2 linked regions of the Sus scrofa genome follow. The protein of the gene in region 1 binds, or shares a complex with, the protein of each later gene. Links are inferred from orthologs where the notes say so. Each region holds a gene or a part of one and is shown on either strand. Other genes may lie near its edges.

What was found. Proteins that work in one complex are often made in the same cells at the same time.
Region 2: the proteins of RALGAPA2 (region 1) and NKIRAS1 are in contact, whole or in part, in a crystal structure (PDB 9QU1), measured with the Homo sapiens proteins. The link is inferred for Sus scrofa from reciprocal best matches to the Homo sapiens genes RALGAPA2 and NKIRAS1. Residues at the interface, in NP_065076.2 of Homo sapiens: Pro20, Lys21, Tyr51, Ser52, Gln53, Phe56, Tyr59, Glu60, Ile63, Arg99, Phe102, Arg103, Trp104, His105, Tyr106, Gln107, Ser108, Lys185, Ile186, Tyr187, Pro188, Glu189; in NP_001364280.1 of Homo sapiens: Lys6, Glu22, Leu24, Leu25, Tyr26, Glu34, Met39, Glu40, Asp41, Val42, Tyr43, Met44, Ala45, Ser46, Val47, Glu48, Lys54, Gln56, His58, Tyr60, His74, Tyr75, Ser77, Phe78, Lys108, Thr162.

What each region holds. Positions count from the first base shown.
Region 1 is NC_010459.5:28,557,135-28,560,787, forward strand, and holds part of RALGAPA2 (ral GTPase-activating protein subunit alpha-2), read right to left. Parts: intron 2,430-3,653; coding exon 2,236-2,429; intron 1,203-2,235; coding exon 1,104-1,202; intron 883-1,103; coding exon 727-882; intron 1-726.
Region 2 is NC_010455.5:10,685,927-10,689,171, forward strand, and holds the end of NKIRAS1 (NF-kappa-B inhibitor-interacting Ras-like protein 1), read right to left. Parts: intron 1,068-3,245; coding exon 825-1,067; 3' UTR 554-824; downstream 1-553. UniProt on the Homo sapiens protein: Atypical Ras-like protein that acts as a potent regulator of NF-kappa-B activity by preventing the degradation of NF-kappa-B inhibitor beta (NFKBIB) by most signals, explaining why NFKBIB is more resistant to degradation.

The DNA of each region.
Region 1 (3,653 bases):
AAGGGTCAGTGTTCCTGTCCCCTCCCTGTCCTCTGCCTACTGCAAGAACTTGCACAGGGAGGAAGGCCAAGGTCACAGGCTGGCTGCTAGGGGCTCCTCTGGCCCTTCTGTTTCTTTCTTTCTTTCTTTCTTTTTTTTTTTTTTGGCCTGCACCCCTCGCACATGGAAGTTCCCAGGCCAAGGACCAAAATGGTACCACAGCAGTGATCCAAGCCACAGCAGGGACAACGCCAGATCCTTAACCCACTGTGCCACCGGGGAACTCCACGGTCCTTCTGTTTCAAATGAACCACCGATCACATGCCTTTGAGAGAAATCAGCTCCACACAAAGAGATGTCAGGACCCCTAGCTGATGGCTGAGGTTATTCACAAAGACATCCCAGCCCCAAAAACAACAGTTTTCAAATGCTTTTGAATGAGTCATTTTCTTCATATAATAGCTAATGTAGACTCTCCCCCCAAAAAAGAGGTTGAGGTTAAGTATTTTTGAGGTTGACCACAGGCAGAACTGGACAGGCTATGGCGGGAAACAGATTTGGCTGGTGAAAGGCAGAGTCAGCAGGGAGAAGCAGCTGGGGAGAGCTTTCGGGAAGACCACGGCCCTGCTGTGCGTAGGAGAGCTGCAGCCACTGAGAATGCCCACATTTTGGAGGTGCTCTCACAACCCCCAACTTAACCTGCCAAGAGTGGCATGCACGACAAGGCCACCACGCGCAAGGAGGTACCTGGTCCTCGCTGGTCAGCCCCAGGTGCATGACAAGGTAAAAATGCACCAGGAAGTCCGAGTTGGGCAGGACGTCCTGGCGTCTGGTCATCATGGCACAGATCAGCTTGTAGGCTTGGAGTTTGCCTTCCTTATACTCGTTTGGCAACGTCGTCGCCTGCCAAGGAGACGGTTAGAGATTTAATCAACTCCAGATGCAGATGCGTTTACTTCTCGGTTTTCCATCAGTTGTTTATGGAGAGGTTTAGGGGATGCAGTGGCTTGAGCAAGACCCAGCCTGTCTTCAGAACATGCAGTCTGGGGCAATTACATTTTTTAAACTCAATTTCAGAAAGGAAGAGGAAATTACAGTAAAGAGATAAACACACATTCACTTGCCTTAAATAGCCATGATGCAAACATTCTGAGTGGTGGGATCAAGGCAGGAGGAGATGGGGAGGACTGGTTATCCAGGCTTATTGCTAGGTTATCCCGTATCTAAACACAAAGAGGAGAATTTTAGGGGATGCGACGCACTTAGTTTATCCCAACGATACTTTAATACTATGCTCCGTGGTCAAAGCGCGGCTTCCAATTAAACTTCTGCAAGTTGAGTGGAAAGCTAAAGTATTCACAAGTTTTTCTTTTATCAGGAGACCTATCACCCTTTTGAATTATGTGGTGGTTTTAGATTTAATACAAAACTAGGGCATCGTTTTTCCTTGAATCTTAATGCCTGGAGAGGCAGTCTTGAACTCCAGGGATAAGGATGGTTTCACAAATTGAACTGCATAAACATGAATTATGTTTTTGAAAAAAAAATGTAATAACACAGGGAAAATGAAGGTTGTAAACAAGAGCCAGAATGAAAACTGTATATAGTCTAAGATTCTACTTTTTGTATAAATGTGTTTATCTACAAGCTGCACTCACAGCATATGGAGGTTCCCAGGCTAGGGGTCCAATCAGAGCTGTAGCCACCGGTCTACACCACAGCCACAGCAACACGGGATCCAAGCTGCATCTGCGACCTACCCCATAGCTCACAGCAATGCCGAATACTTAACCCACTGAGCAAGGCCGGGGATCAAACCCGCAACCTCATTGTTCCTAGTGGTTAATGGATTCGTTAACCACTGAGCCACGACGGGAACTCCGAAGATTATATCTTACTACTGGTTTTCTCTGTGGACAGTGAGGTCAATTTTCCTCTCAGCATTTTTCTACATTCTTCAAATTTTGTATAATAAAACTAGCATCGCTTTTATAAAGACAGTAGACTGCTGAATAATATCCCATTCTTTAATATCCTATAGTAATAGTCTACTTAACGCATTAAATGGAATAACTCCGAGGCATTTATAAAATGACCAAACTATACATATCATTATTTATTCTTTGACAGGCAAACGTACCGTGTCTAAACACTTCAACTTTTGTTCCAGCATATGTTCAGAAGTTACATGCAACAGTTTTTATACTAAGTGATAAATCAAGTTTCCCATATTCGAATAAAAACAGCAGGACGTACCTTTGCTAGTTTGTACCAGAGTTCATAGAGATAGCCAAAAACCCTGGCGTGGATCTTGGGTGACTGGATATTATTCACATCTCCAAGGATTCCCAAGACCCTCCGCCAGAGCACAGCGGCCGAGTCTGGGTGCCACCCGGTGAGGGTCCCTCCGGCAATGATGCTGCAGTCGTCTGCGAGGCACTCGCTGCTGTCTGCAAAGAAAAACATGCATTAAGCCTGTAAACACAAGTTTGATCTCCTCATTGCTGCCTTTTGTCCTGAATGCAAATTACTGACGCTTGAAAACGTATGTACTGAAAACGTATGTATTCAGATGAAGGGTGAAATGGCTGACACCTTGGAAGAGGAGTGGGAGGGATGAGGAAAGGTCAGATGATTCCAATTCTTCCAACTGAAAGGGCACCTCCCTGGAGATGGCAAAGCAGTCCCTGCAGAGGGCTGTGTAAGCAAGCAGTGCAGGAGAAGGAGGACCTGCCAAGAAAGAAGGTGTCCAGGGAAGGAAGGCCTCATGGCTGGAGGGACATCTGTGGCAGTCATCACTGTTAATTAGAACAAATTTTATCCTTCTTGGATAAGGAGTTTTAAGAAATGCATACGGTTACACTTAGAATGGATAAGCAATGAGGTCCTACTGTACAGCACAGAGAAGGACATCCAAGCTCCTGAGACAGACCACGATGGAAGATGATATGACAAGGGGAATGTATGTACGTGTGTGACTGGGCCACTTCGCTGCACTGAAGAAGTCGGCACAACACTGTAAAATCAATTATACTTTGTAATAAAAAATGTACGTCAAAAAGTGCATATATACAGTCATGTAATTATCACCATAACCTGCCACCATAATTGACATGGAACAGCCTCATTGCTCCAAAAGTGCCCCTTTATAGCTAGTCCCCTCCTGCTAACCGCTGTCCCAGACAACCACTGCCGTTCTCTGTCCCTACGGTGCTGCCTTCTCCAGAAGGTCACATGAATGGAGCCCTTAGAGTAAGCAGCCTTTCTGTCTGGCTTCTCTAACTCAGCATAATGCATTTGAGAGATTCAAATTGTGTGACCACAGGCATCGCAGTGGACCCATCCATCTGACAAAGGACACTTGGCGACTTTCCTGATTTGGGGGACTATAAATAAAGCTGCCATAAGCAACTGTGCAACAGGCTTCTACATGAGCATATGCTCACATTTCTCCTTGGTAAGACCAGAATCACAGGACGGCGCAGGTAATTTCTCTGCTCATGCCTTCCTTTGAGTGGACCACACTGTCTTCAGGTATCTGAGCATCTTTGCTCCCTGCCTTGTAAATGCCCAGTTTGGCTGGGTACAGAATTCAGTGCTGGAAACACTTTGCTCCACTTACCTACAGTTTTCTTCATAATTTTAAAGGCAATTGCATTCTGATACTTGAACAT
Region 2 (3,245 bases), on another chromosome or scaffold:
GTGTTTAGTGGGTTCCTAAAAGAAACCTACTACTCAATTCATGCTACATGTAATTTGAACAAAGCTGAATTGTTTATCAAGATCTCTACCAGATACAATTTAGCTTAACTTAGTGTCCACATTGTTTACTGTTCATGATCTATGTCAATATATAATCCTACATGTTAGATTATTAGTGAACTTGGCGTTCCTGTCGTGGCTCAGCAGTTAACAAACCCAGCTAGCATCCATGAGGATGTGGGTTCGATTCCTGGCCTTGCTCAGTGGGTTAAGACCCGGCATTGACATGAGCTGTGGTATAGGTCAGAGATGTGGCTCAGATCCCGTTTTGCTGTGGCTGTGGCATAGGCCAGCAGCTTTAGCTCCAATTAGACCCCCTAGCCTGGGAACCTCCATAAGCTGCAGATGTGGCCCTAAAAAGACAAAAAGACCCCCCCCCCAAAAAAAAAAAATTCGTGAACTTGTAAAAAACAAAGCTGTATTGGAGCTAAGTTTCCACAGTTAGTTATACAAAATGACAGCTTCTGAAACAGGTTAAAGAGAGCTACTCAAGTATATTTGCATACCACTCAAACTTTATTCTTTTGACAAGTTCAACATAAATGTAACAAAGGTGCTGGTTTCAGGGACAAGTTTCAAACAATGAGAATGCTAGTATAGTATTTCATATCAGGCAATAATAACTTAATTAGCTAAAGTGCATTAAATTAATTCCCTAGGGATTTTCTAAAGACCAAAGGTAGACATGTCCTGTTTTAAATATGTTTGTTCACAGATACCTAAAGGCAGTCACTATTCAGCAAATGATTGTGACATTCCACTTTTTAGTTCTCAGAGCTGGAGTTCCCTTTGTTCTTCCTCCCAGGCAGAGGGAAGCTTGATTTGCTCTGGGGCTGGGAGAGTTTGCTGGCTAACAGAGTGAACGGCTCGATCAGAGTTTTCCGGTCCGTGACTGTCACCTCCCACAGCCGCACCTTCTCGCTCCTGGCCCACTGTTGTGCCACTTCTGCGTCCACCTGTCTTTGCTCAGAAAGATCAATTTTGTTTCCTAATACAACAATTGCCACCTGAAAGGAAAGTGGATAAAAAGATCACACTTTGCCAGATTAGTTCCTAGGTGAAATGAAGAAATAAAATTGGCCATTTAATAACTGCTTCATCAAAACTGATACTCAGATGTGACCTGAATGGTAAGACAGTATGACATTACCTTCACTCCTTCCTCAATTCATGTTTATTAAAACTGCAGACAGGAGTTCCCATTGTGGTTCAGTGAGTTACATACCCGACTACTATCCGTGAGGATGCAGGTTTGATCCCTGGCCTTGCTCAGTGGGTTAAGGGTCTGGTGTGGCTGTGGCATAGGCTGGCAGCTGCTGCTCCAAGCAGCCCCTAGCCTGAGAACTTCCATATGTTGCAGGCCTAGCTCTAAAAAGCAAAAACAAAAAATAAAAGTAGACAGATGCCCTATGGGGTGCTTACTGTGAAACTTAAAAGTTAACACAAGTGAGGTCACTCAACTCAGGTACACACGCAGGGAGACTTGAAGAATCACTATCTAGGGTACAGATGATTTGGTTGAAATGGCTGCATTTCAGTGTGGCTCCACCTGCTATTTGGGAAATTTGCAATGCATACTTGAAAATACAACAGCAGGACTTCCAGAGCTGTGAGTGTTCAGCACTCCTGGGACCCGAGTTCCACCAGCACAGGAATCTTTCTGTTCACATGACTCCTAATCATAGCCAAGTACCTGATTAAATTTACAGATTGAATGTGATCCCAATCAAATTACCTGTGACATTTTTCACAGAGCTAAAACAAGTAATCCTAAAATTTATATGGAACCATAAAAGACCCAAAATTGCCAAAACAATCCTAAAGAAAAAGAATAACCCGGATGGGATTAAGATGGCAAACGGAAGAACTGGAGCTTAACTTCTCTCCTAAAATCAACAAAATTCACAACTAAAGGCTGAACAATCTCCAACCAACGGACCGGAAACCCTAAAAAAGATATCCTACTCCAGAAGACAAAGAGGAGGCCACATCAAGAGGTAGGGGGGTGATTATGTGATATAAGCAACCCAAGCCTCCCAGGTGGGAAGCCCCACAGACTGTGGAAACTAACTCGTTCACAGAGACTCGCCTACAGGAGTGAGAGTTCTGAGCCCCACATCAAACTCTCACATGTGGGGATCTGGCACTGGGAGAAAGAGCCCCTGGAGCATCTGGCATTGAAGGCCAGTGGAGCTTGTGCACAGGAACTCCACAGGACTGGGGAAACAGAGACCCCATTCTTAAAAGGTACATACAGACTCACGTGCACTGGGTCCCAGGGTAAAGCAGTCTCCATAGGAATCTGGGTCAAACCTGACTGCAGTTTTTGGAGGACATCCTGGGAAAACGGGTGAATATGGCTTATTGTGAGGGAAGGACACTGGAAGCAAAGCTCTCAGGAGTATTCAGCAGTCTGCCTTTCTCTGGAGGTGGCCATTTTGGGAAAATCTGGCCCCACCATCAGTCTGTGCTGAGAAGCCCCAGGGCAAACAACAATCCTGTGGGATCACAGCCCTGCCCCTCAGTAAACAGGCTGCCTAAAGACCCCCAGGCACACAGCTGCCTCTAATCCCATCCAGAGACAAAGCCCCACCCACCAGGGACAAGCTCCACCTACCAGTGGGCAGGCACCAGCCCCTCCCATCAGGAAATCTACAGCAAGCCCCCATACTGACTTCAGCCACAAGTGGAGCAGACACCAGAAGTATGAGAGGCTACGAGACTCTAGTACTCTAGTATCCGTAAAAAGGTCACCACACCAAAACCTATAAAAATGAAAAGACAGGGAACTATAACTCAGATGAGGGGGAAAGGAAAAACCCCAGAAAATCAGCTAAGTGATCATAAGATTCTCAGCCTCCAGGAAAAAGACTTTAGACTATTGATGCTGAAGATGATACAAGACATTGGAAATAAACTGGAGCAAAGATGAATAATTTACAGGAAACACTGAGCAAAGAGATACAAGATATAAGACAATAACTGAAATTAAAAATTTATTAGAAGCAGCCAACAGCAGAATACAGAAGGCAGAAGAACGAATAAGCGAGGTAGAGGACAGATAAGTTGAAATTACAGATGCAAACAGAAAAGAGAAAAAAGACTGAAAATAAATGAATAGAGTCTCAGAGAACTCTGGGACTACGTTAAACACACCAATCTCCATATTATAGGGTGCCAGAGGA